Linked DNA regions of Oryctolagus cuniculus. The protein of the gene in region 6 interacts with the protein of the main gene of each other region in a pairwise test. Links are inferred from orthologs where the notes say so. Each region holds a gene or a part of one and is shown on either strand. Other genes may lie near its edges.

Region 1 (5,198 bases), on a different chromosome or scaffold from region 6:
GTTCCAATTGTGCTTACTGTACTGTGTACAAATATAGCAAAAAAAAGATCAATGAATGGTACAAATCTTACAGCATTTTGCTAGCAAAAATACATGCCAAAGTCACAATAAGCAATATTGTACCACAAATTAGAGCTTCAAATAATTTGCTTGTTTTTAATATCTTCATTCTACATTAAATTACTATCATAGGCTAATGTTTAAAATGCAAATAAATCAGACATCTGTAGGACAAAACTTGTTCACCCAACTGTGAAGGCTGATACCTGTTTCCAAAAATCACAATAAATGCAGGATAAAGAGAAGTGTTCGCATGCAACACCTTTGAGTGAAACAGCATTGATCCCCACCATTCAAAACAGAGAAGGAAATCAAAGAAAAAAAAACAAAGATGGAGACAGGAGGAAAAGAGAGGGAGAGGGAAAAGGGAAAGGGGAATGGGGAAGGGTAGGAAGGGGGAAGGGAGAAAAGAAGGAAAGAGGGAGGGAAGGACTCCACCTTAAAATGCATCATATTAAGATTTATAACTAGACAGATTTAAAAGCATCAAAATCAAAGTAAAGCACAATTCTGTGTGTGTTTAAAGATTTAAGAGCCATTATCAAAAATAAGATACATTTTTTTCAAGGTACAGAAATGTAATTACGAGGGCTGCGAGCCCAGCAGCCTCTCAATGGCTGCATTGATGTCGCCTCCTGTTGCTATTAGAGCCTGCAAGTTTGCTTCACGATTTAAGAACCCCATTGCGTTGAGCTGTTCCAGTTGCTGCTGAAATCTGACTTCTGGATTCGGAAGCTGTGGAGGATTTGCTCCAGCCAGAGCCTGCACCATTTGCTGAATGAACTGCTGGTTCGGTCCAGCTTCTGATGTTGGACTCGTGGTTTCACTGGGTGCAGAGTTGGACACGTTGGGCCCAGTGGGGCCACCAGAGCCAGTGGACCCAGGGGTGCCTGCAGGACCAGTGGGTCCTATGGGCCCAATGGGGCCTATCGGGGTAAAAGGGACTATAGGGCCTATGGGGCCTATGGGAGTGACCGGGCCGACCGGGCCTATGGCGGTTCCCAGCACTCCCACTCCCACACCTGGAGTGAAGCTTGGGATGAGGCCAGGGGCTTCAGTGGCTAATGTCTGTAGTCCCTGCTGGATCTGCATTAAAGCCTGCATTGCTCTTGGGTTTGACATGGCTGATAGTGTGTCTGGATTCTGCATCTGCTGAAGGAAAGCTGGGAGCTGTGGACGCATCTGCTCCTGCAGCTGAGGATTTGCAGTGAATAGAGGGCTATTCAGCATCATCTGTGCAGCCAAATCTGGATTCTGGCTCAGTGACTGCATCATGCTTCTCATGTAGGGTGCAGACAGCATATTCTGAATCAGCTGGGGGTTTTCTGTTATCTGTTGCAGCAGACTCTGCATTCCTGGAGTACTGAAGATGCTGGCGACATAATTAGCTGCAGCCACGGTGTTCCCAGTAGCATTGCTGGAGCCACTGCCAGATCCACTGCCACTGCTTGTGGTCGTGCTGGTGGTCGCAGAACTCTGTGTGGCCGGTGGTGGTGCCCATGGATTAGGTAGTGGATCTCGATTTTCTGTGCGGGAAGGCTGAGTACCTTCTCCAGAGGAGGAACTGCTCCCCACCGAGGCAAACGGATTACCCCCAAACTGCTCTTGTGCGGCATTCAGCATCGGTTCTTGAATGTCAGTGTACATGCGCCGTAGTGCATTGTAGCCACCTGGGATGCTTTCGAGATTGCTGAGAGCCAGGTCTTGATTTCTCATCATCTCTTGCATCATGGCTGGATTCCTGGCGATTTCAAGGGTCTGCCTCATTATATCTGGGTTGTTGAGCAGATGACTGATTTCTGGATTTCTCTGAATCAATTGTTGCATCTGTGGATTGGCCATAATGAGCTGCCTCATCAGATCAGGATTCGAAAGCATACTCTGAACAAAGGGATTTTCCATGATTTGGATCATCATTTCAGGGCTGGCCATGAGCTGCTGCTGCATCTGGCTCTGGAGCTCAGAGAAGCTAGTAGAGCTCAAGCCTAGGCTGCTAAGGCCTGCAAGTCCTCCCAGGCTCCCCAACCCAAAAGGGTTGCTATTTGTGGAAATAGGTGTGGAGTTACTCCTGGGAGTCGACGCCGAGGTAGTAGTAGTTCCCGCGGCACTGCTAGCCTGTGTACTGGACTGGCCCTGAGGTCGATTCTGGCTTTTGATGACAAGGTGAACAGTCAGTCCATCATGGATGCCATGCTGCATCAAGGTATCTTGATCTTTTAAGATTTTTCCGGCAAAAATCAGCACTAGCTGATCGGTTTGAGATTTGAAGCGTTTCGAAATCGCTTCCTTAAACTGCTGGACCGAGCTATTTTCGGGCACTGCGAACTCCTCTTTCTCTTTGGGGGTCTTCACAGTGACTTTAATGATTTTGGGCTCGGCTGGTGTGGCGGCCGAGCCTTGGGCCGCACCAGGGCCGCGGGAGGGGCGCGGGGGGCCGCTGCTTTCGCCGTTCTCAGCCATGGCGGCCGCGGTGACGCAGGCGGGCAGGGAAGGCGCGGGCGGGCGAGACACAGCGAGGGAAAGAGGAAGGAAGGAGGCGCCGCCGCAGCGGGCTGAGTCGGGCCGGGCGGGGAGCGCGGAGCACGGTACCTCTGTGATGAGAACTGCGGTTCCCTGGTCCTCCGGTGGAGAGAGGGCTCAGCGTAGGCCTCAGGCTGAGGTCTCCGCGCTCAGGTCTCTGGGCCTCCTCCGCCGCCGCTTGTGATCCGACCGCGCGCACTCCCAGCAACTCCCGCAACCGCTCCGCCCGCTCCTCCCCGCCCCTTCCCCTCCCCCAGCTCCGCGCTCTCCTCCCCGCCCCACTCTGCTGACGCGGCGCCAGGCCCTGATTGATAGATCTGACTCGGTCAAAATTAAAAACTTCTGCCCTGAAAACAGAGGGAGAGAGGGAGAGTGGAAGAGAGGGAGAGAGAAAGGGAAAGGGGGAGAGAAACAAAAAGAGAAGAGCAAGGACTAGAATGAAAGAGAAAACAAGAAGCGAAGCAGGGAGGGAGGGAGGAAGAGAGGGAGGAGGCAGAAGAAACCAGCTTCTATAAACGACATTAAAAGACCAATGGAGAATATATGTTCGCAATCTGTAAGGCAGGAAAAGGATGAAAGCATGAATCAAACCGATCCCATATAAAAGACAAAAGATGAATAATAAAGAACTCTGACAAAGCAAAAAGGAGAGAGGACCACCCACAATGGGGGAAGGGGAGAAGACCCGGCAAGAGCTTGCATTTTAAAAACCTGTAAGTGGCCATTAGGCATAAGAAAGATGATTAAATCACTAGTAATCAAAGAAATTCAAATTAAAACAATGAAATTCTACTTTTGGCTTATTGTATTGGCAAAAGAAAAATAATGGTAAACCTCATTGACAGGGAGCTGAAAAAATGCACTCTCATGCTAGTTGAAGTGTGAATTGTTATAGAACAATTTGAAAATAAACATTAACATTTAAAATGCTTCTACCACCTTTATTTAGAAATCTCTCATCTACAGACATCTTAAAACAATTGGATAAGGATGCAAAAATATGTATTATATGGATAAGAACTGCACCATTTAAAAATATTATTTAAACATTTTAAAGTACTCTGTTTACAGGGGACCAGTCAAGCACATTATATTATATAATGAAGTAATATTTGCTATCTTTAAAACACAGGTGGTTAATTTCCTTAAAGTTGTATATGAAATAAACTATACTTACAGGGAAAATTTCAGAGTGTTTTTGCTTTTGGCTTTATATATTTCTGTATGTTAGAAACTGTACAACCATGTATATCTAAATATAAAAATACAATAAATTATTTTAGAACTAATATTTGACAATTAGTTGTATATCTAGACTGGTTGCATGCATGCATGAATGCATGTAAAAAAAGGAAAACTTTACAGGCTATACACCAATATGTTAATGATGGTAGTTATTACTGAGTGCTTCAATTGTCAATGATTCTTAATTTGCGTTTAAAAGATTTTGAATTTTCAGATGATTTTTATAAGTATGCACTTTATTTATAATTGTTTAAATCAGAAATATATTTTGGAGAAAGAGTATAGGTTGAAATTGATAAATACACAATAGTAATGGCAGATATTAACATATTTACTTCCTTTCATTAAAGATTAAACTAAGTAAAGATGTGGCAGTGCTGATGAAGAGAAATTGAATAATAGAAGAAATACAAATTTATGTATGTAATTCTAACCCTGGTTAGGACCACAGACAAAATAGTTCTGCCTTTAAGTATCTAGGGAACTTTTAACAGCAAGTCAAAATCACTGGGTCACCAACACCTTAATATATCATGATTAGAAAAATAAAGGTATGTGGTAGCCATCAATTAATAATAGAGTATGATTAATATGATACAAAATCAAAATAATAAATTTATTTTAATATATTAATATATGTATAAAAATAAAAAACCTAATTTATTAGCACATTCCAAACCATGGTCTATGGTGTTTATAGAAACACTCACATATATGGGAAATGTTCTATTAGAAATATACTACAATGATTTATTCCAAACTTCCACCCATATGGAAGAGGAAATGAAAAAGGATGCGGAAGAGTGATTAAAGGGAATTTTAATTAAATCTGTAAAAACTCATTTTATTTCAAAAATGGAAGAAAATATGCCATAATGTCAGCAATAGTTGATTGTAGATTTTGGGAAATTGAGAATTATAATTTGAAGAGTTTTCCAAAAGTTGATGGAAAATATGTATCATGTGAAAACTATGCATCAATTATGGCAAAAATAAATATCTTTTAGTTCCATTTTCCATGAACTTTTGGAAGTACTCTCATACTATTTTACTTTCCATAGTTTTAATTTCTCAACAAATGGAGAGAAAATTAAGAAAACATCACAGATCATCTTTAATTTCAACAGAATAAAGTTGGATTATATAATGAAAGTGAATGAAAAATTCAACCACATGAAAATTAAAACGAAATTGAAAACTGAACAAAGTGCAAATTAAAGTTGTTATTAAAAGGAATTTATAAAAATAATGACAATAAGGGGCTGGCATTGTGGCACAACATGTTAAGCTGCAGCCTACAATGATGGCATCCCATATGGATCATAGGTACTTCACTTCCAATCCAGCTTGCTGCAAATGTGCCAAGGAAACCA
Region 2 (5,330 bases), on a different chromosome or scaffold from region 6:
AAAAGGCTTCAGAGCGGGTTCCCTGCACAGGGCTCACCTGAGCATCCAGGGGGGCCTCTGGACAGTGGTAATAAGAAGCTACCTCCTCCCGACTGGACAGGTAGCCTGAAAAGAACAGTGAAAAGAGGGAACTGGAGGTTTTCATCCCTCCACTTAATGATGATGCCCCTTAATGATATTAAAATCATTAAGGTTTTTTTTTTTAATAACCTAACATTTGGCTCCATCCCAACCACTGTAGATTAGCAGTACATTTTGTATTTTACAACTCTATTATAAACACAGACATGTAAAGAATAACAAGAACTCCCCAAACGATAAAATACTCTGCGTCATCTTGATTACTGTTTTTTCCTCTGTAAAATAAAGGATTTAGATTATTCCTAAATCTCTTGGAGAGACTATATATTTTTTTAAAATTGTCATTAAATGCACTCAATACATGTGATCTATTTTGAGTTTTTTGCATTATGTAATATATCACAACTATTTGGTACACATTTTTTCTTTCAAATTATTCTCCTGTAAGAGATTTATTAGTGGATGCTTATAAGATTAAATTATTGTCAGTTTTGTGTCCATTATAATATTTTGTAAAATTGCTGTTCAAAAAGACAAGTTAGAAAAGCCAAAAAGCAAGGTCATGGGTGGTATTTCACAATGCTTGTTAGGTGCCAACAGGCCTCTTGAAATTATATAAATCAGTATATCCTTAGTTATTAATGAAGGAAAACATTTTTCCAGATATATATTGTCATCTCTGCCATACCTTTTGCACATTTGTCAAACAGAGAGTCAGTCTTGATATTTTAGGTTGAATCAGTTTCTCAATACTTAGGATATTAGAATCATTGAGTTTTTTCTTTATAACCTAACACTTGGTCTTGATTTTGAGTTTTGTTTTGAAACTTTATAAAGTGTAACATATCAATCTAAAAACTATGTCCCTGATTCCTCTGTAAGTAGTTTTAAAATTTGATTTTAGCATGAATCTGGGTTTTTATCTTGCAATAAGAATGTTTTTCTGCACACATTTACACAAAGGGGCAAAAATGTGAAACACTGAAACAAAGTCATAGAATTACGTATTTTACCAAAATCTTTATAGAGTAGAAATTGTCAATAGATGGAGAGAATCAAACCTAAATAGAAATAATTTCTATCAGCATTAATTTATTTCCTTCAATATGTCAGCCCTTCTTTGTTGTTCTTGTCCTCTTTAATCCTAAAGAGTAACAAATTACATTTCAGTGTTATCAGGATCATAATGAAAATAGGCTTTCAAGATAGAAAGAAATAAGTCAAAGGAGCTATTTACATAGGCCAATAAGTAAATTCATAAAGGGCCTAGAAGACTCCAGCCAGGGACTCCAGCAGACCCAGGGCCATCGTCTTAGAATTAGTCATGCTGTAAGAGGAGCATTATTTGATGGATAAATCTGCTTGGGTGCCTAGAGGGAAGGTGCCAGCAGGCCAGAAGGAGCCAGGAAAGAAGTTGGGCCTTTGTGGCTCATGTTTCCCCAAATCCCAAGGCCTGTTTCATCTTACCCTCTCCTCAGGAAGTATGCATGAATTGCTAGATGTTTGGTCCTATTATAAATGCACCAAAGATTTGGAAATCACTCGGTAGGGAATCTGGAGAGGAGCTTACCAATGGATGGGGCATAGCCATTGTATTTCCCTGAATCCAGGGCATCTTTCATTGCTTGGGTAACTTCAGTGTCGGTAGGCAGGTTTCCAAACACAGTAGGATCTCCTTTTCATGGGAGAGAGAAAACAGAAGGAGCCACCCAGAGGTTACTCTCCCATGTGCTGCACTCAGACTCTTGTCCACCCTCTGCTCCCATCTTCTTAACCAGTCCAGGGGGAAGACCGTCGCTGCCCATGCCTCGAGTGTCCCCCACTCACCGATTGAGAGGGAAATCATGGCTTTGCTTGGATTCGGCTTCACCTTCATGCTGTCCACAATGGCCCGGATGGGATTGAAAGTTTTGTTGGACATGTCTGAGGGTCTCACAGACCACCTGGTCCTCCTGCCTTTCATCTTGCCCGGCACGGAGCTTCTCCCACCAAAGTTGACATGCACATCCAGCACTGAGGGGATGTGGTTGTTGCCATTCGTCTGAATCATGTAGGGGTCCATCACTAGGAAAACCTGGGGGAAAGCCAGTCCCTGTGATGCTGATGGGCCCATCCGGATTGCTACATCGGGACCTAAACATAGGAGTGACTACACTCGGAGTCTCTTTCCAAACTCTTCTTCTTCTTTTTTTTTTTTTTTCCTGCCTTCTCTTATAAAGTGGCCTTGTTATAAAGGAGAAGAGGAGAGCTTTAAGACTTTTTCCTGGCCGGCGCCACGGCTCACTAGGCTAATCCTCCGCCTGCGGCACCGGCACCCCGGGTTCTAGTCCCGGTCAGGGCGCTGGATTCTGTCCCGGATGCCCCTCTTCCAGTCCAGCTCTCTGCTGTGGCCCAGGAGGGCAGTAGAGGATGGCCCAAGTCCTTGGGCCCTGCACCCGCATGGGAGACTAGAAGCACCTGGCTCCTGGCTTCAGATCAGCGCTATGCGCCGGCCGCAGCGCACCAGCCGCAGCAGCCATTAGAGGGTGAACCAACGGCAAAAGGAAGACCTTTCTCTCTCTCTCTCTCTCTCTCTCTCTCTCTCTCTCTCTCTCTCTCACTGTCCACTCTGCCTGTCAAAAAATTAAAAAAAAAAAAAAAAGACTTTTTCCTGATACGGAAAATAAAGCAGGAACCCACTCTACAATGTTCAGAGAGCATTCATTTGAATGCTGACTTGCTGTAAGTGGAATTTGCTAAGTCAACTGTAATCCCTATAAAAGCCTAACAATGCTCTGATAAAACCAAGAGGGAATGATATTAAATCACTAAGCAATCAAAACACATGTGTTTGCTACTTTCCAGGCAGAGCCTATCTAAGCGTCTTCCCTACTAATTCAATATTCTGTGTCTTGCCCTCTGCAGAGAACCAGGAGGACTCACCCCACCCTGTCAGAAATTTAGTGCTAATGCTGTTGCTAGCAAAAGCAAAGCCGTATCCCTAAGCATCTTACAATCTTGCCTGGAAGAAGTCAACACACCAGAGAGGAAGAGGTGAACACCCAGTCACCGTCACCACATCAGCTCTGTTCTGAGAATTTTACCTTTCAAGCTAAGGAGCAGCAGCCTCCGGGGTGCCAAACCTGAAAGTTCACTCAGATCTTGCTTGACAGGTTACCGTAGCAGTGAACTCAGATACAAAACTGAACTCCTGAAATAGTCTCCACAAATGGGCGTTGGGCCCAAAACCTTGATGCTATTGGTGGGGTGAGGCCTAAACCCTCCCCTTGGCCCCTTTCCTCCCCCTCTCTCACCCCTAGACCTGCCTCTCACCCTCAAATCAGGAATTGTCCTCACTTCAAACATCTGGGACTCTGTGTTAACTCTTTGTGGGCACTTTGTCAGATGTTTGGGCAGAGTTTCTTTTCTGTTTTTTTTTTTTTAACTTTTATTTAATGAATATAAATTTCCAAAGTACAGCTTATGGATTACAATGGCTTCCCCCCCATAACGTCTCTCCCACCCGCAACCCTCCCCTTTCCCACTCCCTCTCCCCTTCCATTCACATCAAGATTCATTTTCTATTCTTTTTATATACAGAAGATCAGTTTAGCATACATTAAGTAAAGATTTCAACAGTTTGCTCCCACACAGAAACATAAAGTGAAAAATACTGTTTGAGTACTAGTTATAGCATTAAATCTCAATGTACACACACTAAGGACAGAGATCCTACATGAGGAGTAAGTGCACAGTGATTCCTGTTGTTGACTTAACAAATTGACACTCTTGTTTATGGCCTCAGTAATCACCCTAGGCTCTTGTCATGAGTTGCCAAGGCTATGGAAGCCCCCTGAGTTCACCGACTCTGATCATATTTAGACAAGGCCATGGTCAAAGTGGAAGTTCTCTCCTCCCTTCAGAGAAAGGTACCTCCTTCTTTGATGACCTGTTCTTTCCACTGGGATCTCACTCGCGGAGACCTTTCATTTAGGTGTTTTTTGTTTGTTTGTTTGTTTTGTTTTGTTTTTGCCAGAGTGTCTTGGCTTTCCATGCCTGAAATACTCTCATGGGCATTTCAGCCAGATCCGCATGCCTTAAGGGCTGATTCTGAGGCCAGAGTGCTGTTTAGGACATCTGCCATTCTATGGGTCTGCTGTGTATCTCACTTCCCATGTTGGATCGTTCTCTCCCTTTTTTATTCTATCAGCTAGTATTTGCAGACACTATTTTTGTTTATGTGATCCCTTTGGTTCTTAGTCCTATCATTATGATCAATTGTGAACTGAAATTGATCACTGGGACTAGTGAGATGGCATTGGTACATGCCACCTTGATGGGATTGAATTGGAATCCCCTGGTATGTTTCTAACTCTACTGTTTGAGGTAAGTCAGCTTGAGCATGTCCCGAATTGCACATCTCTTCCCTCTCTTTTCTATTTTTTTTTAAGATTTATTTATTTATCTAAAAGGCAGAGTTCCAGAAAGGTAGAGGCAGAGGCAGAGAGAGAGGTCTTCCATCTAATGATTCACTCCCCAGATGGCCACAACTGCTGGAGCTGAGCCGATCTGAAGCCAGGAGCTTCTTCTGGGTCTCTCATATGGGTGCAGGGGCCTAAGCACTTGGGCCGTCTTCTACTGCTTTCCCAGGCCATAGCAGTGAGATGGAATGGAAGTGGAGCGGCCAGGACTCAAACTGGCACCTATATGGGATGCCAGCACTGCAGACATCCTCTTTACCCACTAAGCCAAAGCGCTGACCCCATTTGGACAGACTGTCAAAGAGTAAGGATTACACGCAATAATTTTTATTAAATGTTGTTGTTGTTGTTGTTAGAAAACAACCTATTAAAATTTTAACAGTACAGAAACACAAAGTAAAAAGTTAGAGTCCTTCCTTGTACTTGCTGCCTGAACACTCCATTCTCACTCCAAGGGTTCAGCAGTGGTAACAATTTGATCCTTTCTATCTATCCAAGATGGATGGGTGGGTGGCTGGATGGATGGATGGATGGGCACAGATACATATGGATGCATACATACATCCATAACTTTACAGATTTCCAAAACACAGGTGGGATCAGGTTCTGCACCTTGTTGGCAACATGCTTTTTAACTTCCTACGTCCAGACTCCTTTCTTTGCCAGCCCACAAAGCACTGGACTCCAGTTACAACAAACTGGGCAGCTGAGGATCCCTTCAACTAACACCTTATCAGTTCAGGGTCTCCAAGGCAGCCAAGACCTGTGCAACTTTAGCCTCATTCTGTG
Region 3 (5,382 bases), on a different chromosome or scaffold from region 6:
TCCAACTGGCGCCCACAAGGGATGCCTGCGTTGCAGACAGCAGTTTGATGGCTATGCCACAACGCAGGCCCCTATTTTATCTTTTACACAAAATCATCTAGTTGTTTTCAATTTTAGTTAAAAAGAGAAGTAAAACCAAAGAAAGGTGTGAGTAACATTGATACACATTACAGTAATTCTACATTATAATAAAAAAAAGACAAAGTTTTGTCCTCACCAGTACATCATTGCAGATATCTCTTAGCTCGGTCTCAATTTTCTCTCTGTATTCTCGAGCCATCTGCTGTTTTTTCTCAGCACCTTCGGTCTTTTGCTCAATACTTGAGACGACCCTCCAAGATGACCTGCGGGCTCCTACGACATTTTTATAGGCTACCGAGAGAAGATTCCTCTCCTCGTTAGATAACTCAGCTCCTTGCTCGGTCACAGACTTCATGCAAGCTGCCATGTCATCATACCGCTCGGCCTGCTCAGCCAGTTTGGCCTTCTGCACCAGCTCATTTTTATCCATGACTGGATGTTCTGCAGGAGGAAAAAAAAAAAAAGAAAAAACAACAACAGTATTTAGACATTTTTCTCTCCCATCAAAATAAAGAGAATGAAAATTCTACCTGTGGTAAGTAAGTTATATCAACACTTCAAACCTAGTGTCTGTGAAAGACTGTTCACTGGAGGAATTCAAATGCAGCCTCACAAAAGGATGGTCACGACAGGGAAAAAAAAACTCACAACAACAATGGAGAGGGAAATTCACAGCAAGGAACACCAGTTTTGCACATTTGGTCAAAAGGCTGCCTTTTAAAATTACCCCTTATCTCACTTGACCAAAAATCTCTATCATGAGACCCAAAATTAGAACAGCTTCTCCTCCTTCATGAAAACAAGGCAAACAAAGAACAGTGCCACTACCGTCATCCCTATCTCCAGAACCACAGTCCATGTCTTTTTTCTTTCCTAATACTTACTCTGATCAGGGATGATTAAATTTAGTTGGTGTCACTCCCACCCAATATAGCAACATTTGCCAGCTGATCACAGCATGACAATTTCTGGAACACACAAATTGCTCATTCTTAAAATATTCTGAATATAAAGCCATCACCAAGGATCACTCTCTAACTGACCCTAAGGCCTCCTTTATACCTTCTTATGTGCATACATGCTTCACAAAGTGGCCCAAGGGTCCCTTTCATTTCAATTCCATCCGAGAGCAGTAAAATTCATCACATTGGAAGCATCTGCGTTTCCAATGTCCCCGTTCCAGTTTCAAAATAGAATTACTGCACCGCTTCTAGTACTCACAATTTAATGAGATGTTATCACTCAAGCTGCCCTTTCCCCTAGCTCTCCTTCCCTCATTTAAGGTTCCCCGTACTTTTCAGGTTACCTCCACTGCATTTATCTTATAAGATAGCCTTTCAGACGGTGCTCAACAGCAGAGAAAGGTACTACACCGTACTGTGATACCACAGAACAAAGGATTTAAAAGCACACACAGAGCCTGAAATGAAATGTACTATTAGATTAAAACGGGGGACGGAAGGGCCACTGTCATCTCCCAGGGGAACTGACTTCCCAATATCTCATTCTTTATCTTCCCAGGGAAACCCCACCATACTGCTTAAAAACTCAAAAGGAAACTGGCCAGAGCGTATGCGAGGAGGGCCATCTCAATGTGCAAAATAGTTAACATTTATCATCGAACATTTCTTCTCGGTTCTTCAAAAATAACCCTTCCCATAAAATCGCCAAACATTTTCTGCTTAATATTGCTTCTAAAGAAAAATGGCTTAAAACCAATACAAAGGTTTTCCTCTACAACCCCTCCGGGACAAGGGGAAGTGGATTAGGTTTCTCGGAGTAACTAGTGCTCCAAGGCCTCGCCTCTATATGGAGATGACTCGCCGCACCCATTTAACCCTTCCGCGGCGTCAGGCGTCGGGGAGGGTGCAACGCAAACCCGCAGACCGTGACTTTAAAGTGCAAAGCCTCCGTGCGCGCAATCCGCAACCACCCCTCCTCCTAGGCCCCGCCCAAGCCGGTGCCTTCGCACAAGTCGCCGACTCTCCCTCTTTGTCATGGCGGATCTGTGTCAAGGAGCCCAACCTACCGCCGAGTGTTAACCCCCCGCCCAGAGCAGGAGGGCGGAGCAGCCCGCGCCCCCGCCCAAGTGGAGGGGGGCGCCCGACCCGGGGACCGAGACGCCAGCACCGCCCGCAGAAGCGGAACCACTACCAGCTCGGCCGCGGACACACCCCGCTCTCCCACCCCGCGTCTTCCCCGCCACCGATGCCCATCCAGAGTCCAAGGACCCGACAGCTGCAGCAGGTGGGGGAGGGGGCGGAGAGCCACACCCAGCCCGGCGAGGCCACCACCGGCTGTTACGCTCGGGGCCCGCAAAGCAGGATCAGGGCCCCTGGTTCCAGCCCGGGGGGGGGGGGGGGGGGGCCGGAGAGCGAGAGCAGCCGAGCGCCGTCTCCCCCACCTCCCCTACCCGACCTGGGCCCGGAGCTCCCCCGCGCCACCCCCGCCCCACCACAAGTAGAAAAGAACCAGTCCCCTCCCCCATCCCAACCGGGAAAATTCAAGTCCTTCCTCCCGCCGCCGCCGCCGCCGGTCCCGGGCCGGCCCCTCCCCACGCCGGCTGGCCCTCGGCGGCCTCGCCCTGCCCGACGTGGGGCAGCGCCGAGCGCGGCGGCCCGGTCCCCGCGGCCCCGGCCCCTCCCGGCCGCGCCGCGCCCCGGGTGGGGGAGGGCGATCGCACCGCGGGGCGCGGAGGCTGCGCCCGGGAGCGGGGGAGGGGGCGAGCCGGGGAACCGGATCGGGGAGGGGGCGGCCTCACCTGCGCCACTGCAATGCCCGCCGCGGCCGCCAAGTCATTCTCCCGGGCGGAAGCGGGGACGCACGGGCCAGGGTGGGGACGGAACGCGGCCGGGGCGCCTCGGCCGCGCCTCGGCAGCCGTGGGGAGCCGGCGGCCGGGGGATCCCCGGGGATCTCGTGTCGGGGGCGCCTTTCCCATCCCCCCCCACACACCCGGGGGATCCAGAGAGGGGAGCGGGCGCCGATCGGGGCCGAGGCACTGGCCCGGAAACATGTAGCCGGAGGCGGCCGCAAGCCGCCCGCCCGAGTCCTGCGGAAGAGAAGCCGCCGCCCGTGTCTGCCTGAGGAGACTCCGCCTCAGCTCCGCGCCGCTACCGCCCGACGGCCGGGCCGATGGGGCCGCGGAGGCGAGGTCGGCTCCCAAGCCTTCCGAGGGCCGGCCGGGGGCGAGGCGGCTGCGGCCGGGTCCCTTACCTGTGTCCGGAGTAGGAGCCGACAGACGGACGGAGGCTCACCGGGCTCTGGGCGGCGGCGGAGAGGCTGAGACTCTGTCCCTGAATCTCGCTGCTCACAGGCTACAGCCGCTCCGCAGACACGGGGTTTCCTCCAATCACCAGCCCCGGCAGCAGGGGCACCACACGCACGATGACGTCAAACGCTGCTATGGCAACCGTTGATTGGTGCCCACAGCTCCGGGGGCCTTAGCGCAACCGCCGCTCCCCGGCGCGCGCCCTACCCGCCCGCGCTAGAGGGCGAGCGAAGGAGCGCGCGTCCTCGCCCCGCGACCGGCGCTCGGCTTCCACCTTGTCTACTCGTTCCCCGAGTGCGCCTGGGCAGGAAGCTGCTGTACTTCCCTCCCCACCGCCACCCCGCTTCCTCGTCTTCCTCTCGGACGCCGCGCCCCCCCCCCCCGCCCCTATCCTCCGGCTCTCCCTTCCGCTAATCCTACGGGAAGAAAATGTGTCCCCACCCCCACTTCAGCGTTCGACCTGGCCTGCGCCTGCGCCAATCACTCCCTCTTCAGAAGGGGCTCCGCTTCAGCAACATCCGGGACCTTTCGCTCGCGCCCCCACCCCCCCCGCCCCCGCCCTGAGGCCTGGCCCGCCCCGGGGTCCGGGGTCCGTGCTTCGCGGTGGTGACTGCCGTAGGGCGGTCCGAGGGCTGGATTACGGGGCCGGCTGGGGCGGCCGGGCATTGTGAGCGGCTTTTGGGGGAAGGGGCAGGGCGAGGGCGGGGCCGCGTGCGGCGCGCTCCCCGCAGGACCCCGCCCGGCCGTGCGCCCGCGGCTGCCCAGGGCGGGGCGGACCTGGGTGCGCGGCGCCTGCCTGCCGCGGCCACGGCCGCCGCTTTACCTGTCGGCGCGGGGGAAGAGGCCTTAGACCTTTTAAGGTTCGGAAAAGAGGACGGAGCGACCAGCCCCTAAGTGTGGCTGAGTGACGGGCAGCTTTTCCAATCGGGAGCTTGGGATCCTCGCCCGGTGACAGCGGCGAGAGGACAATGGGTGGGCGCCGAGGCGGGGGCGACAGGCACGGCCTGGCGGAGACGCGGTCACTCTCAGAAAGCCTCGCTCCCGAGCGGGAGAGGCCGGCTGCTTAGGTGGACGCCAGCACACGAAACGGCTGCCTTTCCCGTTGGGTAGTTTGGGTTTTTTTTCCCCCCTACCAAATCAGACTTGGCTATAGAACATAAAGGTCATAGCCATTTTGTCTCCGAAGGCTAGATCTGAGCAAAGTCCTAGTGCCCAGGGCCCCGGCTGACCCAGCCCGGCGGCAGGGAGAGGGGGCAGAGGAGCGGAAATTGCAGGTGTCTCGCGGCCCGGCTCCACCCAGCCGGCGGAAGGAAGTGCGGAGAGCTGCAGTCACAGCGGAAGATGCCCGCCCAGCACCCTGCACCGTGCACGCGTGTTAGTGCTGAGGACTGCCCAGTGCTCGGGTGACCTGCAAAACCACGCAGCAGCCGTGGAAGGCTGGTGGTTGTCAGGGACTCTTGCGGTGCCCTCCTTGGGTGCACAGCCCCTTGGCCCAATACCTTTATTTAGCAGCTACTGGGCTCCCGCCCCAAACACAGGAGACTCGCGACCCTGAGGAGTTGGGCCTCAATTTCTCGGTAGTAGGCACAAGGCGATGCCTCATCCTTCCAGGACTTGTCTTTTTCTACCTGATGGATATGATGTCTGGCCCGCAGGGCCTTTCAAGTCTGGGTTGCTTTTTGCCAGAAGCAACAGCTGGCATTTAGATAGAATAGACCAGCAAGAGGGTTCTGTGACAAAATGTCTGATTCCAAAATGTGATGGGTAGAGCCCTGTAATAAAGACCTGCAGCAGATACGGAAGTCAGCCGAAACACACTGACAGCTGACCGCATGCGAGTCTCCTTATTTTTCCCGGGTTTGCGCATCAGTACAGATTCATAGTAGGCTGAATGGATGGAAAAATTGAGGTTTTTCTTTGAAATAATAAAATGAACATGCCTTGACTCCCAAGTAAATTCTTTCAGGGAGCAACTCACTTAAAATGACTAGCATTTTCAAAAGCTGTTTTTTAAAAAGGTTGCTTCCAGTTT
Region 4 (5,064 bases), on a different chromosome or scaffold from region 6:
AGCCCAGCCCTGCCTGTTGTGGGCATTTGGACAGTGAACCAGCCATGGAAAAATCTGTCTCTGTGTGTGTATGTGTGTCTCTCTCTGTGTTTTTCTCTGGCCCTGTGCCTTTCAAGTAGATAAAAAATAAACAGATGTTTTAAAATAGTAAATAAAACCAAGGGAAGATAAGGGACTCCAGACCTACTAGGAACCTGTACTTAATATTTTCCTGTCATTCCAGGCAGTCCTCAATCTCCCCTGGTGCTGGACTAGTTAATAATTACCCTGCTCTGATTAAGTTCTCTTTTCGTAAAGAGCAACTGTGAAGTGCCATAAATGATGTTTAAGAAAAACAGACACACCAGTGACTCTTGGGACTGGATTATTCATCCCTGGATAACAAACAGGAAGCTTCAGGAATGCTTGCCTGCAGTCAGCCTTACTCAGAGAGATCTGGTTACAGACCTGCAGTACCACACTCTGATGTGTTTCTCCAGGCCTCGGCTTTCTCTGACCTGCCTCATATGCAAAGGGCCTCAGCTATTTAAAGCATTACATTAAAAAATCATGTTTTTACACCGACCCAGACCCTGGCAGGTTCCAAGAACAACAAAGCAGGACTTACTGCCATTGTCGTCGGAATCCTCACTGCTGCTGGGAAGGCGACCTCGTTTCATGATCTCCCCGGGAAACAGCAGGCAGCCTGCAAAGCAATGAGACAGCACTTAACCCAAGATGATAATACACAATCATCAAGTTGGGCTTCAGATGGCAGCCCAGGATTTACTGCAAACAAAAGCAAACAAATGGCTTTAAGCAGCATTTCAATTATCAACAGAAAGAAAAAAAGAAAGACCAAAGATACATAATTAGGTGTAATCATTAACAGACCAAGTTAAAAGGGTGGGGGTGGGGGGGTGGAGAAGTCACGTATCAGCAGGTCTCCCAAGGGTGCCAGGTTTCTCTCTGTATTCCTGTGACATTATTACTACAACTACTCCACAAGAGTCTCTTTTGCTGACTGGCGGCAAGCACTGCAGAAAAAAATCCACAGCAATGAACACTGTGCCTCCTCACTACAGACAGATTCATATTTTATGTGTGCACGTGGGGGGAGGTGGGGCTGTGCCTGGACGTGTGAGTGCTTACACTGAACTGGGCAGGAATACGCTTCTCTGGCAAATTTGGCTAAAATCATCCTAAAAGCCAAATAACCCAGTTCTAGAAACAAAACAAATGGGGTATGGGAATGGTGTCTTCCCCAGCTATCCCCAACCCCTCAGCAACTCAAAGCCGCAACAGAATGGGACCACAGACACGTGTTAAATTCTGGTCCAGATGCCTGCCTCTCATTCATTAGGAAGATAAAGCCGAAAGGTTAAGAGGCGGCTTCCCCAAGGTCACTCTTGGACAGGGAGCTTCTTACCCTAAATCCAATGCTGTCTCCACTCCACTCCAACTCCTTTCAGGACAGATAACAATCAAATCCAGCCAAACTAAGAAATCAGTGTACACAAACTCAGCCTACCTGCCCAGTTCCTCCCAGGTAGCTGGCCACAGCACCACCCTCAAGTCAGAGGAGACTGCTTTTAGTTGACAGGGCAGTAGGTGGCCAGTCACTGAACTTACACAGATGATCTTGCAGTTAGTCACACAGGACAGCTCTCTAAACAAACCCAAAAAGCTTTTTCAAACTAAAATTATTGATCATCCTGACACCTTTAGAGCCTTGAACTTACTGCCCGATCAATGATTCCCAATGAGAATGAGGAACTTGTTCAGGTTAAGAAAAGCTTGGTAGTCCATCACCCACACCCTCAGGGAAGTATATCCCAACATCCTCCTCACTGGGAATCACAAGCATTATGCAGTGCTTCCAATGAAAGTGTGGCACAAAGGATAGTGGAGAAACACTATGCTGGAACAACTCAGCAATTAAAATAAAAAATAAAAAGCTCTACTCTAAATGGACCTGTGAAAAAAGCCATCAATAACGGCAGAAAATACATCCTGCCAAAGAGGATCAAAATACACCATGTTGGTCCAAGGGTTATTTTGAGCTGAGGGCAAATGACAACTAAATAGCAGGCACAGGAGGCCCTCTGCCTTCCTCCTACCCAACCAAACCTGGGTATAAGTTTCCCTTTTGCAAAGGAGATATCCATTTATCAAGGGGCCCCCCACAAAGAACCCTTATCTACCATTAGTTTCCCTTGTGCACTTCCTTGGCATCTGTCCAAAGTTAACCCCGTTGGAAGCCCAAACTCCCTATTCCTTTGTCTAGTCACCTCACAATTTATCACTCTTTGCTAAAATTGTATGTAAGCCCCCAGGTCTAATCACCTTTTTGGGTTTTGTACCACCTGTCTATGAAGCCCCGCAAGTAAAAACATCAACATCAATAAAGTTCGTTTGGCTCTTCTGGAATCTGGCTTCTTCTATCATTTTATTCACAGCACAGGAAAGGTCTGTAACACAGTTTCCTCTAATGACATGAACCCACACGCTTTATTTACATGTTCAAGCCCCTAATCTAGAATTGCAGTACCGAGTTTGACTTTCTTCCTGAAAAACTCACTCAGATGATTCTTCAAAACCCATCAGATTTACCTAAAGGAAGCTTGACACGAGTCCCAACCTGTGTCTTAAGTTATGTTAGGGAGCATGCTTGGTGGGCCAGGGTTTCATAGCAGGGCAGGCTCAATCCTAAAACCCACCCACCCACAATTCTAACACAAGGTGGCCTGCTCCAAGCCAAGGCTTCCCAGGGCAACAAACAGCAGTGACCCACTCCCAGCTGGAAATGATCACCTTCCCTGTCCTCTGTGTGCCAGAAACACCAAGGGCTGCAGGACAGCTAACCTCTCCTCCAGTTTTCTACAGAAGACACTCCTGCTCCCCTGAGGACGCCACAGGAGGTACAATGAGAAGAGCGAAAGGCAAAAGCCTCTCATTCCTAACAGCCCCAGCTCCCCAAAACCTATGTTACACGCGAGCTTTAAAAGTCCTACCTGAAGAGGAATTCCTCAAAAGTAACAGCCTGATGCAACACAGCAAAAGCCATGCAGTTTGCCACCTCATGAGCCGTGAGAACTGTGAGAAATAAGAGGCTGAGAAAGCCCATAAAATACTTCCCAGCTACAAACAAGGAAACAAGGCTTACAGAATCTTCACTGACTCAGACGACTTAAATTTACCTACACGGGGAGCAGGCACTTAAGTCTAGCAGCTTAGACATCCACATCCCACACTGGAGTGCCCCGACTCCTGATTCCCGGTTCGGGTTCCAGCTTCCTGCTAAGGTGCACCCCAAGGGACACCAGGTGCTTTGGCTCCTGCAACCCCCATGTGGGAAACCTGGAAGATCTGGGGAGATAGAAATTGTCTGTCTCTCTCTCAAAATAAACTTTATTTTTGTTTAAACTTACCTAAATAGAAAACTGGAGAACTCAGAATCTTTTGGAAGCAAAATGCTTTCCTTCCAGCTTCCATACAAAACTACCAGAGAAGCCACTTTAGCAGTCATTAAGTCAAAAACTCAAGTGCTGACCAAATACACATAAATACCCTCTCAAACAAAATTATGCACCTAAGAAAGTAAACTCCGGGGGCCAATGCTGTGGTGCACAGGGTTAAAGCCCCCAGCCTGCAGTGCCAGCATCCCATATGGGTGCCAGTTCAAGTCCCGGTTGCTCTACTTCCCATCCAGCTCTCTGCTATGGCCTGGGAAAGCAGTAGAAGATGGTCAAGTGCTTGGTCTCCTGCACCTGCATGGGAGACCTGGAAGAAGCTTCCAGCTCCTGACTTCTGATTGGCTCAGCTCCAACCATTGCAGCCATTTGGGGAGTGAACCAGCAGATGGAAGACCTCTCTCTTTCTCTGGTTCTACCTCTCTCTGTAACTGTCTTTCAAATAAATAAAATAAATCTTAAAGTAAGTAAGTAGATTCTGCTGAATTCTATGTTCACGTACCCTGACGTTCACGAGGAAAGAGGGTTAGGTTTGCCGCACTCTGCTCCTCCGGGGAACTACACCACAGCCTTTCCCGCACTGGGGTTATGATGCACTTAAACCCTGACGTCGGAAGATTTATCGCACCCAGGCTTACTTACTGTACCAGAACATCAAAGTGCATGTTACCACCTTTAAGATGTGCAATATGATCAGTGCACGCTGCCAACATCTGTCCACTAAAAAGCCAGCCCCAGAACACAAGGAGCCTGTGCGTTCCTCCCTTTCCTGACTCCTCCAAAGCAATCACTCACTACTATCTAAATGGTGGTAGGATTAAGAAACAATCAATTAAAAGAGCTACTCAGAGCACTCCAGAGAAAGCAGCAAGAAGATCCTAACAGCATATAATGCATCCCACAATGTCCAAATACCGAGAGACTGAGAGGTGCCGGGGGAAATCACTACTCCTGCCCTCACAGAGCTTCAGGGGTAGCTGAGGAGAGAGGCCACCAGGACAAGCACAGGGCTCTCCAGGAACAGGCGTGTGAGGGGTCCAGGGAGGACTCTGAGTCCTAGAGCCCCTCAGGGAGGGAGCCGGGAAAGGAACAAAACACCGTAATAATCAACATACAGATAAGCCTTAGCTTATTTCTCCACATGTCTTCTTCCCACTCAGAATCTTCAATGCACTCATATACATTTCTCAAAATAACACACATCCCTTCTTGCCTTATATCCAACTGCCAAGGCTCCTGGACTCATAATGCATGACTCTTTCAAGTCCCCCTGCTGCCCCATGACTCTGTTCTTCCACTACTACTACAGTCTGAATGCGTCCCCTAAAGTCCTGTGCTGTAAACTTCATCCCCAATTCAACAACGCTGGGAGGTGAGGCCTAACAGGCAGTATTTAGGACCTAATTGGATTTGTTATAAAAGCAAGTTCAGGGGCTCAGTAAGCTAAGCTGCTGCCTGCAATGCTGGTATCCCATTATCAGAGTGCCAGTTCAAGTCCTAGCTGCTCCATTTCTGATCCAGCTCCCCGCTAGTGACCTGGGAAAGCAGCAGAGAATGGCCCAAGTGCTTGGGCCCCTGCACCAACGTGGGAGACCTTTATACAGCTAGGGTC
Region 5 (4,631 bases), on a different chromosome or scaffold from region 6:
AGACAAACCAATGTCCACATGGGATGCTGTTTCAGGCGGCGGCTTATCTTCTACACCATAGCACCAGCCCCCTAAGTGGCTTCTTAACTGCTGTACCAAATGTCAGCTCCAAGAACATCCTTTATTATAGTTATGTTCTTTCCCCCAAACCAAGACCTAGTCTAGACACATGCTTTGTATCTCACAGTCACATCATGTGGTAGACACACAGTTATCTTCCATCCTCTGGTTCACTCACCAAATGCCTGCCAACAACCAGGGCTGAGCCTCAACTTCATCCAAGTCTCCCATAATGGCAGGGGACCAAGCACTTGAGCCACCATCTGCTGCCTCTCAGGATGCATTAGCAGGAATGCCAGACTGGACATGGAGCAGCCATGACTTGAACTAGCACTCCAATATGAGATGCAGGCATTTGAAGCAGTGGTTCAACCTGCTGTGCCACAACACATGGCCCGCATCATGTTCTTTTAATAAACTCTCTCCTAAAGTATTGATGCTTCTTATAAATTATCAGATTGGCTTAAGAAAATTAAGCTTAAGAAAACTGCCTTAAGAAAAACAGAATTCAACTTTACTCGTTTTACTCTGATCATTTCTCCATGCTAAAGCTTCTCTTCTTTGCATATCCTATAGAAATTTACCAAGGTCTGAGAGCTTCTCTCTCTTTTTTAGAAATTTATTGGAGTCGGTGCTGTGGCACAGTGGGTTGGTTACACCTCGATCCACGGTGTTGGCATGCCATATGGGTGCTGGTTCATGTCCTGGCTGCTCCACTTTCAATCCCGCTCCCTGCTAGTAAGCCTAGGGAAACAATGGAAGATGGGAGACCCGGAAGAAGCTCCTGGCTGCAGACTTCAGCAAGGCCCAGCCCTGGTCATTGTGGCCATTTAGGGAGTGAACCAGCAGATGAAAGATCTCCCCTCACCTCTAATTATACATTTATTTGAAAGGCAGAGTTAGAGATAGGAAGAGACAGGAAGAGATCTTCCACCTGCTGGTTCACTTCCGAAGTGGCCCCAACGGACAGGACTGTGGCAGGCTGAAGGTAGGAATCTGGAACCCCATCCAGGTCTCCCACATGGGCATCAGGGGCCCAAATGCTTGAGCCATCTTCCACTGCTTTCCCATGCACATTAGCATAGAGCTGGATCAGAAGTGGAGTAGCTGGGACTCACACTGGTGCTCATATGGAAATACCAGCATCACAGGTGGTGGTTCAACCCTGAGCCATGATGCTGACTCCTCCTCTTCATTCTTACTACCATCGCTTCTTACCCAGGCAACTAAAACTACCTGTTAAGATTTATTAAACACTGTCCCATTAAATTTCCCCTGGAAAAAAAAAAAAAAAAAGAAAAAAAAAAAAAGAAAAGAAAATCTGAGTCAGTGTTTGGTCTTCAAATCAGAGTACCTGACTTCAAGTCAGGAATCTGCTCCTGATTCCAACTTCCTGCTAAAGCACATCCTGGAATGTAGCAGGTGATGGTTCAAGTGGTTGAGTTCCTGCCACCCATCAAGTACAAATGGACTGAATTCCCAGATCCTAGGTTCAGCCTGGCCCAATCCAGGCATCCTGGGCATTTGGGGAATGAACCAGGAGATGAGGACTTTGCCTCTTAAATAATATAGCTGTATCTCCAATTCTTACAGACAGTGCTGAACTTGTCAACTAAGATTTAAGGATCCAAACACCTATAGGCTTCATATGAAATCATCTCTCAGCTGACCTCCAATTTGGATCTTAACACTTCAATCATGATCATCTCATAGCTTCCATCTTAGCCTGTCCATTCACTCATGCTTTTTTTTTAACCAATTCAAAGTTTTATACTAATATATTGCTACTTCTCCTAAGTTTTCTTAACTCCAATTCTTCTTCATCATTATCATAATAGCTACTGTTTATTCTTTGACAAATATATTTCTTTCCTTTCTCCCCTTTCATATTTATTTGGAAGAAAGAGAGACAAACAGACAGTGCTCCCATCTGGTTCACTCCCCAAATGCCCACAATGACAGACTAGGCCAGGTGCCAAAGCCAGGAGCTAGGAACTCAATCCAGCTCTCCCAAGTGGGGGGCAGGAAACTAATTACTTGAGCTATCACTGTTCCCTTCCAAGATCTGCATTAGCAGGAAGCTGGAATCAGGATACAGAACTGAGATTCAAACCCAGGTATTCTGGTATGGGACACAGGAATCTTAACTACTAAACACACATCTCTATGGTCACTTTCAACGATAATTCACATAAAGACTGAATTTAACATTACCTAAATAAACTAATTGCAAGGGCCAGAAAGGGAATCAGAACTGAATCTGGTCTAAAGAAAAGGAAAGAAATACCTTCTGAAAATCAACAAATCTCGATTTATTTGTATCCAGCAAGAATCTTCTCCTATTGGCACAAACTGGGTTTCGGCAGATATTTGGCTGTGTGTATTTGAACTGCTGTTCTACATCCTTGATCACTGTCTGACAGTCCAAGCACAGGAATGTTCCGCTCACTAGCTCTGGGTGAACTGGGTGAGTCCGTACCACCTGCCCACTGATGCGGGTGAGCAAACCAATTCTGGATGAAGTGAGTTCACGAATCCTGTTTAAAGATAAATATCCCACTAGTAAATATTCATTTCTCAACTAAGAAATCTTTCCATCCTAATGAGAAAATTCAATGATAATTTACACTTTAAAAAAAAAGGCAAAGTGTTCTTTGGACACTACTGAAAAAAAACGATTCTTTGTCAACACCCCTATTCCTAAATTACACAGTGCACACATATTCACAACAAAACATATAGATGAATAAATATGAAAAGCTAACTAAAGGACACCAAATAAAGTTAAAATTACAAACAGGATAATCTCAGCTTTGTTTTATATACTGTTTTTGCTTATCTACAATTTCTAAGAAATCATTAATTACTTTCATAATGAAGTTATCAAAGGAAAAAATGTTATACTCAGAAGTTGAAAAACTATTTCACACATACATTTTATATGAAAAACTTGGTAATTTCGTAACATATTTTCAGCAGTTTTAGTTCTCAAAAATACCACTTCAGTTACGCGACCCCCGAGCGGTCGGCGTCCCCCAACTTCTTAGAGGGATAAGTGGCGTTCAGCCACCCGAGATTGAGCAAAAATACCACTTCAATTTCTTTCAATAGTATCTTTTTAACGTAATTACTAAAGACTATTTGAAAGCTTTGTATTTAAGATAACAAAATATTCAGAAGATTTATAAATCTCTACAAGTGTTCTGAGTGCTATTTTCTCATTTTTGCCCCAAGCTTCCCTTTTTAAATGTGCTATAAAATGAACAATCATAAGAATCTGCTTCACTTTACTTACCATCCCATCTTCATAGAAAATCATGTTTTTCTAAAACTAAATGTTCTGTACAACCAGGTGTAACTAGAAAAAAGCCAATCTGTTTACAAAATGTGCACACAAAACACTATTCCTCCCCCCATATTCATCAATTTATAAGTACTTTCTTTTTATTTTTTTCAATTCTTGTCACTACCAAGCATGAATAAGTAATTTTACAGCAAGAAATCTACCTTTTGCATGATTAGGTAGAAAAAAAAATCTAAACCAAAAGATTTTACATATGAAAAACTGAGGCCCCAGGAGGCAAATGTGATTTGTGTGATATTAAACAGCTCGCTATAGCACATCAGTGTAACCTCCCAAATTTTCTGACTGTCAGCTAAATGGTACCAATATTATTTGGTGAATTCCTTTTCTAAGAAGAGTTTTTCTTACTTGTGTCTAGTAGGCAGGTCTTGAAATGCAACATAAAAATCCTTGGCAAGAGGGATCTCTTTCCGGTCTTTGACGAAAGTTTTTAAGGCCCGACACAGGTAAGGGTAAACTCTGAAAAAGAAAAAAGTCAGCTGATAGCTCAGATATCTTACATCTCTCTTGCAACAGCTGAGTCTAAGGAATTTCATCTGGTCACAATCAAGCCCTAGGACTTAACTGTACAGGACATTTCTATCATCTAATCTGGGTTTAAGAGTCTCTTTCAACCCTCTCCCATCCCACCACATAACACCAAAGATAAATGCTATACCTATCTTATCTTTGAGTAATTTAGCACTCACATTCTAGTGACAAAGGTCACTCCTTTGTCCAACACAACTCTACCTAAACCATCTGTCTTGTCAGTATGATGCTGAATACTGTGAGTTTTCACAGGGCTGTTTACAATCTAATTAAGACAACTTCATATTTGTTGTCAGGCCCTAGCATATATAGTAGTTTTTGGTTACATTCTTAACTGATAATGGATGAGGATAAGGGAGAAATTTAGCAAACACGCAGAAATGTTTCACTTGACTGGTTCATCTGGTGTATCTTAAGTCCCCAATAGCTATGGTAGCTTGGTTTAAGGAACAGACCTAGAAAAAAAAAAAAAAGATGGACAGCTCATTTAGGAAGTTTAGCACAGGTACTCACTCCTACCTCTAAACCTAATTTTCTCTCTCTCCCTCACTTGTGAGGATTCTAAGTCTTCAGGGTATATATTCTTCCAACCTTTCTTTTTTTTATAAAGATTTTATTTATCTGAAAGACAGAGCTAGAGAGAGGAGACACAGAGATAAGAGATCTTCCATCCATT
Region 6 (5,431 bases):
AGCTTGCCAATCTCTGTACTAAATAACAAACTAAAATCTAACAGCCTCAGTGAGATACCATTCTGATCATGATTATCTTGATTCCACAATGAAATTAGGTCTCTCTAAAAACATATTAGCAGGATGTACTACCTATCTGAAGTATACTGCCTGGGCTACTGAAGTTAGCTCTGAATAATTGTCAATTAATTCAGTTTTAAATAGTTGTCAATTACTTTGATACCTCTGAATGTACTGCTGTTATTTAAAGTAGAAATACTGAAAATTCTAAAGAAGAAGGTTTTCACTTTCATTTTGAAGGACACAAACCCATATTTTCCATGACTATTACAGTATAAAAAAAAAAAAAAAGCCTGTTACCTTATTCATTTTTATAAACAGCATTAGTCAACCACTGCTGTAAAGTAATCCAACAGCGGCTGGTGTTGTGTTGTAGTGGATAAAGCCACCACCTGCAAAGCTGGCAGCTCATATGGGTTCCAGTTTGTGTCCCAGCTGCTCTACTTCCAATCAAGCTCCCAGTTAACGGCCTGGAAAAAGCAGCAGATGATGGTCCAAGTGTCTGAGACTCTACCAGCCATGTGGGAGACCTCAATGAGGCTCCTGGCTTCAGCTAGGCCCAGCCTTGGCCATTGCAGCCACTGTGGGAGCAAATCAGCAGACAGAAGATCTCTCTTTCTCTCAAACTGTTACTCTTACAAATAAAAAATACACAAATTTATTTAAAAAAAAAATGTACAGCAACATAATACCAATTTCTAATGTTTCAAATTCGTAATAAAGGTTAAAAAAATTTTCTTTGAAGTCAAAACCTGTATATCAAATTGGTACTATAAGGACTTGATTTGTGAATTTATCAGACTTCAGATATCCAACTTAAAAAAAAAAAACTTAAAAGAATTTTAAAATCAGAGTCATTAGAAGAAAATGTTCCCCAAATTTATGGGCTTCAAAAAAAAATTTTTATTAGGGTTTCAAAGTTACACTCACTGTAGTCTATTCATATTCGAAGGACGCAATACTCCAGCAGCTCAAATATTTATTTTAGATCTTTCCAGTATATTTAAATTTTATAGAAAATTGTTTAAGAACTAAAAACCGGAGCATGCTGGAGGTGGTAGTGACTTTGAAGTTACACAATGTAAAAATTTCACTCTACCCTCTCCCCAGGGATCAAGCAAATCACCTCTGTGACACACCTGGTCTCTACCAGCCTTGTGGGGTAAGTACCCCAAGATTGCTTCCAAACTAGTATCTTTTAGACAGAAGAGCTAAAAACTGATGATATGCCCATGTACCAGCTGATTCATTTTTGCCAAGTGTGACCCCCTAGCATCAGATATCATACTATAAAGAGACAGAGCTGGCTTGCAAAACAAAAACTAAATTCGTGCTGGCACTGAGGGAAGACGGGCAGATTAGAAGCTTTCAAACATGTAGGTATCAAACTCTAAAAATTATCAGGGCAAGGTGAGGGGAAAAATGGGACTTAATGATAGGAAAATTAAAATAGTACTGCAAAAAAAGGAAAGACACAGCCAAAAAGGAAAACAAGCTCAAACCTTAAAGTAAAACATATAATGGCTGCAAAGTCTTGAGATTCTGAAACAGGACAGAGATAAAGTTCAACATCAATTTTTCCCAATTTCTTTCCCCTAAACAGTATGTGATCACTTGTATCAAAATGTCACTATTGTTATACTAGATAATTACTTAATATCTATGTATGTTAAAGTGAGTTACTAAAAACCGTCTATGAGTCAAACCAAATAATTTAAACCAATCCAGTCTAGAAAAAGAACAAAACAATAAGAAAAAATTGAAAAATTTTCCTTAAAATAAATCTATTCTGGGTCTCATATATAGCATATTACTTTCTATTCAAATAGGAAATGTTTTTTAAATCGAGAGAAAAATGAATATACAGAGAATAAACACTCTTCTTGCAGTATTAATGATCCATTTCTCAATAAATTTCTAGTCATCTTGCTTAAACATTTCAATAATATTTTAAAGTTACCAAAAATTATCCTAAAGTTAGGATACAAACTCTTCAAACTATGAAACACACAAAGGCACTTCAAAAACTTTGTGGAAAAATGGAATTACAATTTTGATACAGAAAAACTTTTAAATTTTTACATGTTTTTTTCAGGACATGAATTTTTTTAAGGCCCCCTTATACAACAGTTCCCACACTCTACTCTGGCTCCTTCAGAGCTTATTTATTCTTTACTGCTAAGATGTTGGGAGTTACAATCCACTATGTGCTCATAATTTTACTAAATTAAAAAAAAAAAAGCCATTGTTATCTTAAACCAGCAGAGTAACAAAGCAGAAAGAAAATTTTAAAAACGAAGCCATAACTAAGTAGTATTAAAAAAATAGAAAATACAGCTTAGAAAAGTCTCAATTTTAAGTCTTGATTTGAATAGCAAAAAGTATGATCACAAAACACCCACTAATCTGAATACTGCAGCATTAGCTAGCAAATTCAAACGGTGGCTCACTTCCAATAATACTGGGTGCAGCTTCTCCATCCTGCAAGCCACTCCTTTTACCTCCACTGTAACTCTCTAGGAGAGAAAAGTATACTAGTTTTATTAAAGTTATAAAAATTTCTAGAAACGTATCTTAATTAAAACACCCACCACGTAAAAGACACACTTTAAAATGTTTATTAAGAAATATTACAAATCTCCTTTACAATGTATATAATAAAATGTTTATATGTTACAACTTGAAATTTTTTGAGAAATGCTTTCCTGTTTATCCACACAGATAAGTCTTCAGTGGTGGCTACTGATATTCTGAATGAGGGGAAAAAAATAAATATTTCAGAATGAGACTAAATGAAGAAATAAATCAACTCTTAGGTCCACTATTCTTGGCAGTGTTTCTGCCAACTACACATTTTCTCCATTTTTACAGCATGTATTTCACTTTACAATGGCAGCCTTTTAAAGGCTCTAACATAACATTCAAAATTACCTTTTACAAGCTGTGGCCATTCGGTGACATCAGGGTGATCACAGCTTTGAGTCACTGATTAAAAACAGGTTGGCACACCAGTCTAGCTGCTAACTTGATCTGAGCGTAGGCTTAATAACTCTAATAAATTAAACAAATCTTTAGTTAGAACACTTTAATATATAAATCCAATTCATTGTTCAAATAATAATTTGAAACTTTAAATTAGGTGTCAATGCAAAATTCATCAGAAGAATAATTACTACAAAGAACTATTCTTCAGCATTTTGTTTTCTTAAATGATATTTTCATTGAGAAAACATGGTATAGGTTGAACATCCCTAACCTGAAAATCCAAAATGCTCCTAAATAATCTGAGGGCTTATTGGGAGCATTTTGGATTTTCAAATTATAGAATTTTTCAACCAATAAAGTCTATACAAGTATTCAAAATCCGAACAACTCAGAAATAAAGCATTTCTGGTCTCAATTATTTCAGACAAAGGAAACTCAATCTGTGATAATACCTTCTACTTCTGTGTAATGTTATGAGTTTACAAAGCACTCTGCTTGGTAATTACCTTGAATCTCAAGACAACTTGACTAACTAATAAAGCTATTTCATACATAAGAACTTTAAAAAATCAAGCAGCCTCAGAGTGATTAACTGACTTGCCCAAGATTTTAGAATTAGTGCTGAAACTAGTAATAAAATGCAAATTTACTGAATAAAGAAGTTTGGATTTTGGAGGCTGAATTTTTATTTTGGTTTAGTTTCGCTACTTAATGTAAGAGCAAAAAAATTAGGACATGGATTGAGACCTCAAAATTATGGCAACAGGTTCAATATGACACATTTTAGTGATAGGGTTCTTAAACAGATGAAGAAAACAAATCACCAAAAATGAAAATGTTTAAAGAAATAGTTATATACATACACACGCACATATACAAACCAAAGTGTTACTTATTCCATATTTACGTAGATTCACCACACATTAGCCAAAACTCCTTGGTTACTGCATGAAAATACGTCCTAGTCTTTCCAGTCAAACTCATTAGATTCAATTTCATGAAAGATTATGATAAAACTATGAAATTATATCCTCCTTTCAACCAAGTTATCTTTTACCCCCTTTTAAGGTGGCCTCAGCTAAATTTTCCTAATTGTCATGGTCCAAATTTTGCAGATCTCCTTAATTATACTACAGGTTTTGGCAAGCACAGCATACATGTGATATAGCCTTGTATCAAGAGATCCTTTCAAACTATTAGTTTTTCCTCTTGTAATTCCCCTACTGAACTGCATTATTCAGGCACTATCTGAGGAGCAACTAAGGGAAGATGAGAAAATTAGAAGGGAATGATCTTTCATAATTAATGCGTTCAAACTAACAACAGACAAGCACAGAAGGCAGTTACCAGCATGGACCCAGAGCCAAATAAAAAACATCAAGGTATCTGAGAACCCATAGAGAAGTGCTGACACATCAATGCTTGAGCCTGTACTTCCATAGCTATGAACACAGGGCTTTAAATCCAGATGAAGGTGAGGAGTTGTCTGAGTATATGTAAATAATCTCAGGAAATGCCCATAAATAAGACTTACAATCACTATAAAAAGATGAGAATACTTCAAAAAGTTCATGGAAAATGGATTTAAAAGATAAGCAAAAATTGGTACAAAATATTTTGACATCCAATCATTATGAGGAAATGAGGGGAGTCTTTAAAAGTTCATGAAAAACGTGAATTAGGAAAAAAGTATACATGGAATTAACAAACTTCTGCACCAAAACAAACTTCTTTTAATTCCATTTCCCACTAATTCTTTGAAGTACCTTGTAATTAAATTTGACTGACATAATTACATGTCTTATTAAGAACCTATGTATTACTGAAGTCACATGAGAAAGAAGCAACAGCATTCCTGAAATGAAGAATGGAGTCAAAATAGTGAGTTTCCTCTTAAGTGTTGATGAAACTAATAGTGTATGTGATCTGGAAGATACAAATAACACTAACTTCACATCTTATAAACACAAAAATAAGAAAGTTAAAATATCTTTCAATTGACTAATTGAAGCCAAATTAAACAGCTATATGTATATTAAAAATTACAAAGTCAAAACATCTCTTCCAGACTCCTCTTTTATGAGGTCCAATGCTTAATAGAACACCAAACAAGCTCCAAACAGGTATTCATGTCCCTGGTTTGGCCATTCAGTAGCTGGGAAATCTTGGGCAAGTTACTTAACCTCTCTGAACCTTAGTATTCCTATAGGTAGAACTAAGATGTAGTAAGGACTGTCATGAAGATGAATGAACTAACATCTAAACAATGTCTGGCAAATAATGAAATCTTAAATGAAATCTATTATTAATATTCATAGCCCAACAGCCAAACCTGTCCCCTCAATCCTCTTATAAATACTATTTTTACTTCTCATGGCACACACTA

What was found.
Region 1: the proteins of UBE3A (region 6) and UBQLN2 interact in a two-hybrid assay, tested with the Homo sapiens proteins (2 studies listed by BioGRID and IntAct). The link is inferred for Oryctolagus cuniculus from reciprocal best matches to the Homo sapiens genes UBE3A and UBQLN2.
Region 2: the proteins of UBE3A (region 6) and TAT interact in binary tests that used the Homo sapiens proteins (3 or more experiments, as listed by UniProt). The link is inferred for Oryctolagus cuniculus from reciprocal best matches to the Homo sapiens genes UBE3A and TAT.
Region 3: the proteins of UBE3A (region 6) and YWHAZ interact in a two-hybrid assay, tested with the Homo sapiens proteins (2 studies listed by BioGRID and IntAct, with this or other methods). The link is inferred for Oryctolagus cuniculus from reciprocal best matches to the Homo sapiens genes UBE3A and YWHAZ.
Region 4: the proteins of UBE3A (region 6) and JADE1 interact in a two-hybrid assay, tested with the Homo sapiens proteins (3 studies listed by BioGRID and IntAct). The link is inferred for Oryctolagus cuniculus from reciprocal best matches to the Homo sapiens genes UBE3A and JADE1.
Region 5: the proteins of UBE3A (region 6) and MCM6 interact in binary tests that used the Homo sapiens proteins (3 or more experiments, as listed by UniProt). The link is inferred for Oryctolagus cuniculus from reciprocal best matches to the Homo sapiens genes UBE3A and MCM6.

What each region holds. Positions count from the first base shown.
Region 1 is NC_091453.1:39,986,450-39,991,647, reverse strand, and holds the start of UBQLN2 (ubiquilin-2), read right to left. Parts: upstream 3,205-5,198; 5' UTR 2,521-3,204; coding exon 643-2,520; 3' UTR 1-642. UniProt on the Homo sapiens protein: Plays an important role in the regulation of different protein degradation mechanisms and pathways including ubiquitin-proteasome system (UPS), autophagy and the endoplasmic reticulum-associated protein degradation (ERAD) pathway.
Region 2 is NC_091449.1:55,670,722-55,676,051, reverse strand, and holds the start of TAT (tyrosine aminotransferase), read right to left. Parts: upstream 3,319-5,330; 5' UTR 3,165-3,318; intron 2,180-3,164; exon of another isoform or gene 2,156-2,179; 5' UTR 2,144-2,155; coding exon 1,909-2,143; intron 1,757-1,908; coding exon 1,652-1,756; intron 106-1,651; coding exon 38-105; intron 1-37. UniProt on the Homo sapiens protein: Transaminase involved in tyrosine breakdown. Converts tyrosine to p-hydroxyphenylpyruvate. Can catalyze the reverse reaction, using glutamic acid, with 2-oxoglutarate as cosubstrate (in vitro).
Region 3 is NC_091437.1:126,359,930-126,365,311, forward strand, and holds the start of YWHAZ (14-3-3 protein zeta/delta), read right to left. Parts: upstream 3,437-5,382; 5' UTR 3,296-3,436; intron 2,622-3,295; exon of another isoform or gene 2,576-2,621; intron 523-2,575; 5' UTR 512-522; coding exon 218-511; intron 1-217.
Region 4 is NC_091439.1:35,932,121-35,937,184, forward strand, and holds the start of JADE1 (protein Jade-1), read right to left. Parts: upstream 3,168-5,064; 5' UTR 3,064-3,167; coding exon 2,994-3,063; intron 686-2,993; coding exon 608-685; intron 1-607.
Region 5 is NC_091434.1:107,465,845-107,470,475, reverse strand, and holds part of MCM6 (DNA replication licensing factor MCM6), read right to left. Parts: intron 3,884-4,631; coding exon 3,773-3,883; intron 2,598-3,772; coding exon 2,348-2,597; intron 1-2,347. UniProt on the Homo sapiens protein: Acts as a component of the MCM2-7 complex (MCM complex) which is the replicative helicase essential for 'once per cell cycle' DNA replication initiation and elongation in eukaryotic cells.
Region 6 is NC_091443.1:14,371,943-14,377,373, forward strand, and holds the start of UBE3A (ubiquitin-protein ligase E3A), read right to left. Parts: upstream 3,117-5,431; 5' UTR 3,012-3,116; coding exon 2,992-3,011; exon of another isoform or gene 1,171-2,991; intron 500-1,170; exon of another isoform or gene 361-499; intron 1-360. UniProt on the Homo sapiens protein: E3 ubiquitin-protein ligase which accepts ubiquitin from an E2 ubiquitin-conjugating enzyme in the form of a thioester and transfers it to its substrates.